Tamandua tetradactyla: one gene and its partner. The protein of the gene in region 2 interacts with the protein of the main gene of each other region in a pairwise test. Links are inferred from orthologs where the notes say so. Each region holds a gene or a part of one and is shown on either strand. Other genes may lie near its edges.

What was found. The genes of interacting proteins can lie anywhere in the genome.
Region 1: the proteins of TRIM39 (region 2) and UBE2E2 interact in binary tests that used the Homo sapiens proteins (3 or more experiments, as listed by UniProt). The link is inferred for Tamandua tetradactyla from reciprocal best matches to the Homo sapiens genes TRIM39 and UBE2E2.

What each region holds. Positions count from the first base shown.
Region 1 is NC_135341.1:65,248,675-65,255,683, forward strand, and holds the start of UBE2E2 (ubiquitin-conjugating enzyme E2 E2), read right to left. Parts: upstream 3,083-7,009; 5' UTR 2,944-3,082; intron 1-2,943.
Region 2 is NC_135331.1:85,289,526-85,296,971, reverse strand, and holds the start of TRIM39 (E3 ubiquitin-protein ligase TRIM39), read right to left. Parts: upstream 3,111-7,446; 5' UTR 2,543-3,110; exon of another isoform or gene 1,637-2,542; intron 888-1,636; 5' UTR 758-887; intron 474-757; 5' UTR 467-473; coding exon 14-466; intron 1-13.

The DNA of each region.
Region 1 (7,009 bases), on a different chromosome or scaffold from region 2:
TTCCCACAATCTTGGAAAAAAAAAAAAGAATAACTAAAGAGACAACAATTAAATGCAATACAAGACCCTGGACTAGATCTAATAATGGAGAAGAAAATGATATTAGGACATATGAAAAAATTGGAACTTACACTGAAAGCTTTATATCAATGTTAAAGTTCTTCAACTTGGTAACTGTACTTTAGGTGGTTACACAATGAATACCCTTGTTCTTAGGAAATGTACATGGAAGCATTACAGATTCAAGAAGCATGATACTCTCACATGTTTAGATAACTGGTAGAAAGACTGATAGACAGAAGGACAAATATAGAGAGTGATACAACAAATACAGCAAAATGTTAAAATTGGTGGATACGGGTATGGAGCAGGGGAGGGCATGTGGAGTTCTCTCCCTGTTTGGTGTATTATTTTTGCAATTATCCTGTTAAATCTGAAATTATTTCAAAATAAAAAGCTTAGGGGAAAAAAAATGCCCAAAGAGATGCATAATTTCTATAGTTTCATAATAAAGAAGAAAATTTTATTTCTACTTTTAACCCAACATACTCATTTTATCCAAATCTTAACCAACCAAATCACAAATATGTGACAAAACAGATAACCACTACAGAAACGTTTACAAATGAATTTCACAAGAATCAGTGAAATTTCTGCCGTCTTTGTTTATGAATGCCTGATTACAGAAAAAGTTTGGAAAAAAATTTATAGTACCACTCATGTGCAACTAATTTTTATGAAGAAAAGCAGTGATTTTAAAGAGTTGTTAAGGTCAGTGTTGTCACTCTAAAGTAGAAATGAATAAAAATCCCAAACTAAAACTCTTTAAACATTAATTGCTAAATTAACATTTTTAAATTATCTTTTACTAAATTTAATTCCTAAATCGCTAATCTATTCCAATTATCTAATCTAAGGAAAATATAAACTTAAATCCCAGGGTTATAAACACAGAGCTGCTTTTCAAAGATATTAAGTTATTTAAACTAATACTTTTATTTTGGACCACAAAAACTTGGTTTTCCTAAACAAAAACAAAATAAGGTAGACTTTCCTAAAATGTGTTATATTAAGAGTTTCCATGTTATTCCTTCACATGCATACTAATTGTCTAAGCTTGTACTAACTATGTACTTTATGCTGTAATTACAGTCCTGGAAATAACCAATATAATAACCAATGAAGCGCACATGTTCCATAAAAAAAAAGAAATGATTTGGCTATAAATATTACTGATGACATAAAAGGGATTCTAATCACTCCATGAGTCCTGATTACTGCCAGACAAACCTTATCTCAAGGCATTAAACTGAAAAAGCAACTACCTATTTCAGTTTTTATAACAGGAAAATACTGAATTCTGTCATTTGATATCTTGCTGTCTTCCTACTCACGTTTCTAAATTTTCCTAAAATGTAAAGTAATTTATATTACGTACACATCTTCTAGCAATACCCAGCATTTAACTTAACTCTAAAGACATTTATGGAGGAAATAAAGAATGGTATCACCGATTTTTTAAAAATGAGAAAAGATATCATTAGATGGGAGAAAAGGGGTGCTGTGTCCTAGGGGAGAGAAAATGGGGTATGACATAAGAAAATATTCCATCATTAGCACCAATCCACATATAAAACTCCAAAGAGCCAAGGAGCATCCAATCGGAGCAAAAACAAATATTTAGATTGCCAAGGTCCGGAATGAATTATCAGATTCAGAAACACACTTTTTAAAAAGTCAAGGATAAAAACTAAGAGAGCTTAAAATCTTTTCTCTGAAGCGCTTTTTAATAAAAATGAGTGAACTCTACAGAATATACAATACATAACGATGGATCTTGAACACATGCAAGTTAGTCTAGCAGCCACCGAGCCTAGGATGATGTCTTTCTAAAGCGACCTTAATTTCCTTAAGGGAAGATGGATTGGACATCTGGTTGGTAGTGGGGGGGGGGGGGGGGCACAAGAAGCTACACTTTATCTTCATTAGAAATGGTAAAGGGCAAGAGGATCAAAACATTATGAGAGAAAGAGAGGGAGAGGAGTGGGAGCAAGGGAAGAGGGAGGAGGGGGACAGAGGGAATCCAGTTTCAAACCAGGCCAGTGTGGGCTGCAGAGAAGAAACCAGAGAAAAATGGGCTTCTGCTCCAAAACTGTGACAAGATCGAGGCATCACAAAAGACCAATATAACACACACCCCACACCAGGGCACAGAGAAACACAACCCACAAGGTCTTCTCCCGGTGGGCCATAGGGGGCGGCGGGGGTGGCGGCGGCGCGAGAGCCAGACCCGGCATTCGCCTGGAAAGACACCATGTGCAGCAATTATGCAATTAGGGAAAATAGCAAAAGATCAAGCCTGGCACTTTCCGCCGTGACATTTATCCCGTACTTTTGCAAAGACTTAGTTCCAGGATGCGGCTAGAAGAGGGCAGGGGCTGGGAGGGCGTCGAAAGATGGGGAACTGAGAACCGAGGTGGGTGGAAGAAGTGCAAGGAAGGGAAGGGGCAGAAAGGGAGGAGGGCAAGGGGAGGAGGGGGAGGGGTGACTAGGGCGAGAAACGGGGGCAGTAGGCTCGCGGGAGGGGACACAAGGAATGGGCCACGCCAGAGAGCAGAGAGAGGGGAATCAGGGCGCGGGAGGTGTACACAGGGACCTGCGAGGTGGAAGGGTGGCCGGAGTGGGAGGGTGGGGGGCATGGGGGAAGGGACGCCAGCCCGGACCGATACCTCAGGGAGGGGCATCCGCTCAGGTCGCGGGCTCAAACCCAAGCTCGGGGAGAGAGGGAGGCCGGGATGCACGAGGGGATGGCGGCGCCAGAGGGAGGTGAGGCCCCAGGGACCAGCTGTCCCTTGTGGGCCGTCTAGTCACCGAAACCTGGACCCAGGCACCCGACGCCCGGCCACGCCTGCCTCCGCGACGCTCGCACCCGCCTGGACTCACCCTCAGTGCCGCGGCCGCCACCCCCGGCCGCCCCAGCTCTGGCTTCCGAGGCTACTGCCCGCGGCTGCCGCTGTGGCCGCCCCTGAGTCCTGGAAAGTGAAGCCACCACCTCAGCGAGCCGCTGCCGCCGCCCGGCCGTCCGCGCGCGCGCCCGCCAGTGCGCGAGCTCGCGCGCCCGCCCGGGAGAGACCGCGAGAGCGCGAACCCCACGTCGTCCGTGCCGCGCCGCGCGCCAGCCCTACCGGCCCCGCTCTCCGCCCCTCCTCCACCCGGCGCGCGGCCGCGAGGGGGGAGGGGGCGCGCGCGCACGGGCCGGCTGTCCCGCGGGTCGGGCGAGAGGGCGGGGAAGCCGTGCGGAAAAGTTAAGTGACGGCCGAGTCCCGCGTGCAGGCAGTGGGCTGGGATGGGCGAGGGGAGTCCGTGGAAAAGGAACGGCAGGGACGGGAGAGGTAGGGAAACCGAGGCTGGCGCGGGGCGTCTTGAGGGAGGGGGCGCGGAGACCTTGACGGGCACGCGCATTAAAGGGATATGCTGGCTGAGGGGTGAAGGTCGTCCTAAAAGCTTGCGACTGAGGGGGATGTTGGCAGCAGGGAGGCGTTCTCGCCCCACCCCCACGCACCGTAGCCCTTGACTTCACCCCCTCCTCAGTGCATATGCGAAATAGCCTTCGGTACTGACCCCGTTGACACACTAACCCGTACTCAAAAGCTCCGTATTGGCCTGGAAAGTTCTCCCAGGCAAAGGCAAACTCTTCACATGACACTGCAACACAGAGGTCCTTCTGCCTTTTGACTTTGTGTGACCCAGAATGCACACCGGTTAGTAGCCAGAAATTCCAGGCCTTTTAGCCATGGAATATTGGGAGTGGGGATGGGGATGGGTGGGTGCTGCACTTTTCCTACTTCAGGCACACTTGAATGGTTTGAGTGGCTTTAGGGAACGTTAGATTCCCTTTTAATCTTCACCCCAAATAGCAATTTGAAAAATAAAAGTGTGTCTGCTATGCAAACTCAGCTTCCAGAGAATTTCTCCCACCCCAGCCCCTCTTGCAAACTGACTGCTGCTCCTAAACATTATATGCAGTCTCTGGAGCTGTATGGGATGGCGTGCTCTATCCAGACAGGACTGAAGATAGCCTCCCAAGCGTAGGAATAGACCTACTGGACTTGAACATTATTGCCCACTTAGGCACAGAATTAGATGAGGGAAACCAGCAGACCAGGTGCCCTAAGCTCTCCATGGAGCAATGAGCAGAGTCCAGAGTGACTCAGGCAACCAAAAGAATTCAGTTCGGTAAAACCAAAGAAAAAACAGGAGCAAATCAAGAGCCACATACATGTCTAGAACTGAAAATCCTTTTATCCAATGCCTTCTTCAAGGATTGGCTGTTACTTTATAACATCCCTGACAACTACCAAAAGCAAATATTGACCTGTAGCCTCAGATAAACACCACTGAGCAAAAAGTGGTGTGTCCCTATGTATCACTCAAGAACATCAAAAGGCTCTATTCTCTTTTCTGTGCCTCTCTCAGTGCCTCCTCTATTCTAAAGACACCAGTCTTATTGGATTAGGGCACCTTGATTCACTACAACTTCATCTTAATTTGCTTATATCTGCAAAGATCATATTTCCGAATAAGTTCACATGCGCAGCTACAGGGGGTTAGGACTTCCACATGTCTATTGGGGGGACATGATTCAACTCATAACAACCTCCTACCTGAGCTTTTTCCCCTGCCCACCCCTCCACACACACACAGCAGCCTGAGTGATCATTTAAAGCATAGGTTAGATCATGCCTCGCCTGTCTCAGAACTTCCAGTGTCTCCCCATCCTAGAACAAAGGCCAAAGTTCTTACAATAGCGACGTAGCCCTGCATGATCTATCTGCCACTACCAAGAACCCCTCTGATCTCACACAGTACAGCATTACTTCACCCTCATCTCCCTCCAGCCACACTAGCCTCCTTGTTATTATGAAACACATCAAACATTTCTCAGCCTCAAGATTTCTGTATTTACTATTCCCTATCTCTACATATTATTCCCTCCCACCCCACCCCCAGCACTTCCCATCCTCCTCCCCGTTTTATTTTTCTCCATGATCATCACCTGACATAATAAATATTTAATTTAATTATTTTAGCCTTCCCTCTTCTCCTCGCCCACAAATAAGCTCCTTTGGACACGGATTTTGTTGGTTGGAGTTCACTGTTAAGTTTATTCAATAAATACTGTTTGAGTTAATGACACTGAACTTTTCCAATTGATGACATAATAGATGTTGCTCTGATTTCTCCAGTAATAATAATCAGCATTTATTGTGTTCTCATGTTGTGACAGGTAAAGTTCTAGGCACTTTATAATACTAGTTCACAACCACCCCATGAGACTTACCCTATCATATAGATGGAAACATTGAGATGAGAACATTGTACAGATAAAAACATTGAGGTTTGGAGGGATTGAGTCAGTTGTCCACAGCTAGTGGGAGGCAGAGCTGGGATTTGAAATCAGCAGTTTGACTCTGGAGTCTAAGTTCACAACACTTTGTCATGAGTCCAGTGTTACAAACATAGATTTTTACTTGATTTTTCCCTGTTCCTCTCCCCTGAGACTCAAACTTGGTCTCCTAGACAAATAGCTCACTTTCCTGCTCTGATTCATCAATCCATCATGATGAACTCACTCTCTACTTTCCTACACTTCTTATTTCTAATCTTGAATATAGAGCCTACATTTTCCCCCTAGAATTGGCAGGTGGAAAAGTTTTTTGAAGGGCCTTTCTTATAACTTTTATTGCTGCCAACTTTGTGAGTAGATAGAATCACAATTAGTTTTCCAGTTTGACTAGAAGGGAGATAGAAAAGACCTCTCTGGGGGAAAAGGCTAGATTTCATAAAACACACCACATTGGTAAAATACCAACTTCCATTCTTTTTAGGCATCCAGTGATCAGTGGTTGATAAAATATTTGCTTCCCCTGGGGAGGGAACATCATATTAGTTCAGATTTACCAAAAATTAGGACCCTTACAAAATGAGATGGAAGACAATGTTTTCCTTCATCCTGGCTTGAAGGGAGCTATAGGCACCTGCAGTCACTCTGAATGCCATGGATACTTAAGAAGAGCAGAACTGATGTGGGAAAATTGAAACTCCTTAGGGCTGAGGCCCTAGGGACCCCATTATTTAGTTCAGTACTGAGATAGAGGCACATAGCAAGTGTTCAACAAATGTTTGTTGCATAAATGACTGAATGAATTCCTAATAGAGAATGAAACAGTGCTGACTGTCACACCTGGTTTGGGACTACCACCTGGGCCCCTATATATGACTGTATACATGGCACACTGCAAAACTTCACTGGGCACCATTCACATAAGTTATGATGCAAACACAGGGATCTGGATGCTACTTCCATATTGTAGCCCCTGCCCATGTGTGGTTATAAATCTCCAGGAGGTTCCCGATCATCACTGCCTCCTGTGTTCACATTCTTTTGTGGTCCCCTCCCACATTTACCAGGGTTAGTATAATGCTGAGAAGTGATGGTGTATCACTCTGAGATTACCTTATAAAAGACATTATAGCTTCCATATGGATTCTCTCCCATCTATCCTCCACCCTCTCCCCCTCCCTCCCTCCCTCCCCTTCCCTCCCTCCTTCCCTTTCTCTTTTCCCCTTCCTCTCTCTCTCTCTCCCTGTCTCTCTCTCTCAGATCATTTACTCAGAGGGATGCCAGCTGGTATACTGTGAGTAGCCCTATGAAGAATCCAAGATGGCTAGAAACTGAGTGCATGTGCAAGCAGATCCTTCAGCCCCAGCCAAGACTTCAGATTACTGAAACCCTGGTCAATTTTTTTTTTTTTTTTTTTTTGGCATGGACAGGCACCAGGAATCAAACCTGGGTCTCCGGCTTGGCAAGCAAGAATTCTGCCTCCTGAGCCACTGTCACACCGCCCCCTGATCAACTTCTTGACTGAAACTTCAAGAAAGATCCTGAATCAGACCACCCAGCTAAGCCACTCTTAAATTCCCAACCCGCATATACTGTGAGATAATA
Region 2 (7,446 bases):
TCAGGTTTCCCACCTTGTACTCCTGTGTGGCGTCATCTAGTGGCACAACGGTGTGGGCACGATGGGTGTGAGAAATTGCACATATCAAACATACAGGCTCCTGATCCTCATAGCAGAAAAGGCTCAGGGCCTCATGGTGCTGGGGACAGAGGTTCTCATCCCGGATTTTTCGCTTGACGGCCTGGAGCTGCTTGGCGATTTCAACCATACTGCCTAGTTGTCGATTAGGCCGGAGACTGCGGTAGCGGGATGTCTTTCGACACACAGGACAAGGGAAGTCCCTCTCCAGGTCTTCCCACCAACGGGTGATGCAGGCTTTGCAGAAGTTGTGCCCACACTCAATGATGACAGGCTCCTTCAGGTACTCAAGGCACACAGAACAGCTTGCCTCCACCTGTAAGTTCTCCAGAGCTGCAGCTGTTGAGGCCGCAGAGGCCCCAGCTTCTAACAGACTTGTCTCTGCCATTATTTAACTTGGGAATGGGGAGGGGGCACAGAGAAAAGAAAAATATTAGTTGAAGGTTTAATTTTTTTGCATCCCTGGTCTGACATTTACCCCCACATTAAACCCTATCTCTAAGTTTAGTCCCATCTTAGTATTTCCCATCTTCTCTTCCTCTAGATTCAACTTTTATTTTGTTTCTCTATTTCCAAACTTGTGACTCCCAGCCATCAACCTAAATCTTTTTTTTTTTTTTTTTTTTACTATTTGCCAAACAGACTACTCCCCACCTCCCCCCAATCTTCTGTCTCTTACCTCTGCTTTCTCTTGTTAAAAACAAAGGCTTCTCCCAACCCAAGCAGTGTGTTCCTGATGCAGGCACATTCTACTTATATCTTAGAACCAGTAATTCCAGACCAATATATCCGTAGTTTGACATATTATTCTAACAGATGAGAAAGGAGTTTGTGACAATAAAAGCTGTCGTTAGAGTTAAGATATTAAATTAAATCTGAAGTTAATGTTACAGAAGAATTTTATTACTATATTTCACTGGGGTCTATCTTGATTTTCAACCATTCTTCTCATTCTTTCAAAGAGTAATGAATGGAATGGGTGTGTGAGGGTAGTATCTCCTTTACAAGAAAGTTTGAAATTATTCTTTGTTTTATCAGAATAGCTTAGAGAACTGGGCCCTCTTCTTAGAATGAAATGATTCACAGAACATCCATTCCTGTACGTGTAAATTTGGGTATTTAGAAATGCTAAAAAGTGATAAATTCATGGCAACTAGAAAGTACAATATTGAGCCAAAGCCAATAACTTATTGAAAGAGCTGATGATTCTACTCTAATTATTCAGCAATGACTTTCATGATAGCTATTCATAACTAATTCCTTGGAAATAGTGTCTCCAAGTAATAAATTCTGAAGTGGTTGGGAATTCGGAGAAAGAAAAGTAAAGAGGTAATTAAAACCTCCCTTAAGTGAAACCTCAAAAGAACTGAAAATGCATCTAAGGTATTTATAAAGCAGAAGGCTACTCCATCCCTAAAATGGTAACACTCCTATTCATGAATAATTTCTCTGTACTCATCCTGTCCATCCTCCCCCCACCCCCCAAGACCCAATAAAGGAAGGAAATTTAGCAGGTATATCTGCTGAGAGGCAAGTGAACATGTAATGGGTGAGTTACCAAAGATTATTCTTGTATGTATTGATGGTACATATGAAAATGTTTAATTTGGAGTAGGAGCTTGTTAAGTTCTTTGAACATGAATTTCTTCCCCCAGCATCAGGACCGAAGTTCAGTCAGACGATTTTTCTTTACCTATGGGAATCCAACCTTGACTAGACATTAGTCCTCAATCTTCTAGAAATTAGGCGACCTCCTCACCTGGGGTTGAACTGTATGCAACATTAGGGGCCAGGATGGATTTAGACTGGCAGAGGGAACGGAGAAGTTATGTGAAAAAGAAATGGATAAAGGGTCAGGGAAGTATGAAGAGGACTTGGAGCTACAGGCATAATGATGCCTTGGGTGCCTCTGGGTTGGTCCTTCCTCTTCCTCTATGCTTTGTGTGTCAGTAGACAGGCAAACTTGTGGGACGCCGACGTTCTGTTTCTACCACTGTCCAAGGTCCCACCTTGCGACCCTCTCCTGAGCGTGGTCCACAACTCTGTCCCACCCCCGTCTCCACGTTCTCCCGCCAGATCTGGCGCAGAGGGATTGGAGGGGGTGGGCAAGAAACGTCATGGTTGGCGGGGGAGGGAAGGATGCGTGTCCAGGTGAGGAGGTGTGACGTGAAGGTGGGATGCCCGCTGCTATGACGCAGCCGAGACCGGCGGTGACGGCGTCGGAGTTTCACCCGGGGAGGCGAGCGGCAGCGGGACGGGGGAACCACGGGGTAGCCAAGCAACGCCGGACGCGCTGACGTCGCCGGGGCGGCAAAACGTCCGCCCCGGCCTGAGGCGGGGGGAGGCAGCAGTGGTTACGTGAGGGGGACCGGTGACGCAGTCGCGGGGCGCTGGGACGCGGCGTGCGGAGCCGGCCGGCGGGGAAGGCCCCGGGGTCTGGGACCGGCGGCGGGACAGCACCTACCTTCCCGGCTTCGGGTCCGGGACTGCGGGGCGCGGAGCCACCGGAGCGCTGCCTCCCTCCTTTCTCCTCCCCCCGCCCCCGCCCCGCAGCGCGACACAATACTCGCCGGAAGCGGAAGCCGCGCCGCGCCGAGTGGCTCGTGTCGAGCGAAAGCCGGGTGTCCGCGGGCGGCCGTGGCAGGGCCTAGCGGGGCCTGCGGAAGAAGGAGAAGAAATGGGGCCGGAGGTGAGAACCAGTGGGAGGAGTCAAGGACGAGAAGGGACCTGGAGGGGCAGGTGGCGGAGATGCCGGCGTGCAGGTGACCCGAGGAATCCTCTGGAGAAAGAGGGCCGCGCATGCGCGTGGTTGAGCGCCGAAGCCCATTGCCCGCAGGGCGCTGGACGGCCTCTTGGTCCGGCGAGACAGCCCTGCCCACGCTGCGGGCTAGGGCCCTGGCCAGCCTCCGCGGCTCCCCGGTGGCGCTGGGAGTCGGGGGGCGGGACAGGGGCGGATTGTGGGCTTTCAGCCACACTTTCCCTTTCTTCAGGCAAGTCCGAAGAGAAAGTGGCTTGTTGAGGCGGTGGCCAATTACGTGGCGGACCTGCAATTCGCAGCTCGCACGTCACTTCCGACTACTTGAGTTTTAGCCTTTTAACATTCAGGGATTAAATTCTCGCTCCCGTGTACTTCAAGAGCTGTTCCTCGCGCCTCTGGTTTGGCGGGCTTTTTCGAAATGATACTCCTCTCCCGCTGGAGTGAGAGTCGGAGAGTTGGTATTTCAGGTCTCTGCTGCTCACCTTTGTATCCCTTGCGCCTCGCTTGGAGCACGACCGCTGCAAGCTCTCCGTACGCACCCATTATTGGTGCGAGCCAAGGCCGGTCCTTTCCACTTATGGGACTGTGACTTGGGTTTCTCTGAAAGGTCAGATGGTGCTTGTACGGGAACTCCACACTCTACCCTTTCTGCAGCTGGAAGCTCCGCAGGTCGGGACTTTGTTACAGTGGGGTGAGGTGATGGGCCTGGGGGTGGGGGGGGAATCTGCAGGATCGAGGTGTGGCGAGACTGGGGAGGAGTTGGTGCCGAGTAGTGATATTGGGGCTGGGAAGGAGCTGGGGCTGTGAAGGAGCTCGTGCTGGGTAGAGTTGTGGTAGGGCTGGGGAGGAGTTAGTGCTAGGATGAGTATGAAACTGCTGGTAGAGAAGAAGGCAGTTTGCCCCGCTCCCAACGCTTGGCGAGCAGAATGTTGATTGAAAGAGATCATGAGCAAATTTTGGTGTACCCTTCTTGGAGAGGAAGGAATCTAGCTTGTTCCAGTCTTGAGTTGGGATGCTATACAAACATTGTAATGTAGAGCCTCTCATCGTGGGAGCCAGAAACTATTTACTTGCGGAAAATAGAATCAAATATGTGAAGTGTAAAAATTTAGGGTCGCACATGCTAAATACAGTTCGTCTATTTTTTTTCTTAAAGATCCTCTGCTTTTTGATCACTTTGTGTGTGTGTGTATGTGTGGTACCCAAAGATCTGGAGAAAAACTTGATAAAATTATACTTGAGAAAATTATGATCATTAATTTGTATTCTTATTATTTGGCCTTAGGGACTTTAGCAGTAGTACTTGTTCCAGGTAACAAAACTTAATTCTTCGTTAGGGTAGTTTGAAAGCCACTAGCTGGGAGAACAGCCTCTTTAGCCTTGCTTTGGAGGGAGAAGGATGATGAAGAAGGTTGATTCTGTTTTGTTGTTGTTGTGCATTTGTAACTTCTAAGGTGTTACATGGTTAAGTTCGGAAAGCAATCCTTACTCGCCTTTTGTTTATACATGACTGGGGATGCTGTTAGACTAAGGAGATTCCCTGGAGGGGGTCCATGTCCAAGACTATGAAGAATGTTTGTCTGGAGACCAATAGCTTATTAAGGAGACTGTACACTGACTATAGAGGGAAAAGGGAGAAAATTCCTAGGTAAAACTATAAAATTATGAATGGCATGGTGTATGACATAGATTAGGGATTGGCAAACTTTATCTGTAAAGGACCAAATAGGACATATTTTTGTCTTCATTGCCTGTGTAGTGTCTGTTGCAACTACTGAACTCTCTTTTTGTAGTGTAAAAAAAGAATTAGGTAATACTAAAGAAATGGGTGTGGCTGTATCCATTAAAATTTTATTAATTGATCCTGAAACCTGAACTTCATATAATTTTCATGTGTTACAAAATAGTCTTGATTTTTTCCCCAGCCTTTTAAAAATATGAATACCATTTACTGGGCCATACAAAAATACACGTGACATGCCATAGTTTGCTGACTTTGTCGAAGAATCCACTAATTTTCAAACGAGGATAATTGGGATAGACATGCTGTGTTCTCTTTTTTCTGTGTCTATATAAAAATAAATAATAAAGGTAATTTGAGATCATAGCAGATTTGTTATGACCTTGTGTAACTTAGTTGATTGAAATTTATGAAGATACTGGGATACAAGTACATTCTTTAAACAAGGAGGGGTATTATTAAAGGTTAGAAGGGGTTGTAGTTCAGGAGAGGTGGAATAGCACTGAGTTTTTGTGTTGTATATCAAGAAATTATCACCACAGGAATATTTAAAAATTAATTATTTTAATGGGATGAAGGGTAATTTCTTTTAAACTTTTTAAATTATATAGTATAACATATATACAAAGCAAAGAAATAAAAAAGCAATAGTTTTCAAAGCACTCTTCAACAAGTGGTTATAGGACAGATCCCCGAGTGTGTCATGGGCTGTGATACGATCCTCTCAGATTTTTACTTCTAGCTGCTCCAGTATATAGGAGGCTAGAGGGCTTAAATATATTTTTATGATAAAGGCATTTAGGGCAATAAATTTCCCTCTCAGCGCGGCCTTTGCCACATCCCATAAGTTCTGATAAGTTGTATTTTCATTTTTATTCATCTCTAGATAGCTACTGATTTCTTTAGCAATTTCTTCTTTGACCCACTGGTTGTTTAAGAGTGTGTTATTTAATCTCCATGTATTTGTGAATGTTCTCGTTCCTTTGGTGGTTATTGAGATCCAGGTCATCCCATTGTGATCAGAGAAAGTGCTTTGAATAATTTCATTATTTTTATATTTATTAAGACTTGTTTTATGCCCCAGAATATGATCTATCCTGGAGAATGTTCCATGAGCACTAGAAAAGAAAGTATAACCTTGTACTTTGAGGTACACTGACCTGTATATGTGTGTTAGGTCTAATTCATTTATCAAATTATTTAACTTCTCTATATCCTTGTTTATCTTCTGTCTGTGCTTGGGTCTAGGAGTGCTTAAACTGATGCACAGAGCTTGAGGGGGTGTGGGGTGAAGCTGTACGACACTATGGGCAGGGGGGCAGGGGTAGCCTGGGTATGGAGGGTAGTGCTGGCAGCCTTTATGCGCTGGCAACAGCCTGCAGGGAACAGGGAGGGGGAGGTAGTGCTCGGGAGGGGTGCCAGGAGAGGTGAAATGTGCTGCAGTTGGGGTGAAGTGTGGGGCAGGTACATGCACTGAGGGATGGTTGGGTGGGGGTGCCTGGAGCCCGGGAAATGGGAGCGTATGACGGGGTTCGGGTGCGTGGGGTGTGGGGTGAGTCACCGGTCACGAGGCTGCACTGGTGAGGGTATGCACCCAAGGAATGTGGCCCGGCTTACTTCCTAGTCCCCTGCTCCTGTCCGTGCACTCCCATGGGTTCTGTGTCTCCTCGCCAGTCTCCAGGTTTCTACCTCTCAGTTCCTCGGCCTCTGCAACTAGGGCTGCCCTCTGTGGTGCAAAATGCTCTCCCAGGTCAGCCTCACTCCTGAATCGCTGCCTCAGTCGCTCTCCTGTCCCTTCTCTAATTTTTCCCTGAAGCAGGGCTAATCTTGAGCTACTCTATTTGGCCATCTTCCCAGAAGTCCTCTCATATAAATTTTTAACTCATTAAGATTGAAAATTCCTATGTTAGAAAAAAAATCTTAATAGCATCGTTTAGGATTCTAAATATAATATGGGTCCTTATTATGGATTTTATTGCTTCAAAATTAAAAGTTAACAGCATGATAACAGTACAATTGAGGAATTTTGGTGTATGTAGGACATTTCTCCTCTTGTTGACAGTGGTAAGGAAAGGAAAAAATAGTTCACTTTACTTACTCTTTGTACCTAAAAAACAAAAACAAAAACAAAGCAAACTCATTATTTTTTCTTTCTTGTTGAAATTTTAGGACAATACAAATTCTCCTTGCCAATTTCAAAACCTATACAGAACCGGTAGAAAGATACAGGAGTCAGAACCCTGGGACCAAAATGTCACCTTTATTAGTTTTATAAACCATGTTAGAGGGAATGGTTTAGCAATCGTCAGTTGATTTGCTTGCCTTCCCTTGAATTGAACACGTTCCTAACCCTTGAGGTATGCCTACCTCTCCCCTTCAGAACCTACTGGCTAAGCTTACATGTAGCTGGGAGATGCTGAGAAATCATTCCCTCTGCAAACAGATTCAAAGAGGGAAAAAAGACAAGGAGCTAGGCCAAGCCTGCTCAGCTCCTGCTTCAACCCCCTTTAGGTCACTTCTAGAGAAAGGTGGGAGTGTGGGAGGTTGAGGAAATCTCTTCTCATGGAAACCATGAGAATAAACAGTTATCTACCCCTTACTTTAAAACTCTATGGATGTAGATATACCTTTTTTTTGTGCAAAAAATCATACATTTATTTATAGATCTCAATACAGCAAAATAAAAATGAAATTGAGGAAACTGTTCATTTTTCTAATTTAAAATATAAAATGGGAGTTTCTTCAGAAAAAAAGATTTACATGAAATTTACCTTACCTTACAGTTTATGCTCTAAGAGTACATTTTATAAAAATCAGCAACCAGCCTTCTTTTTTGTTTAAATTGAAATGAACATGATAAGTGTAAATG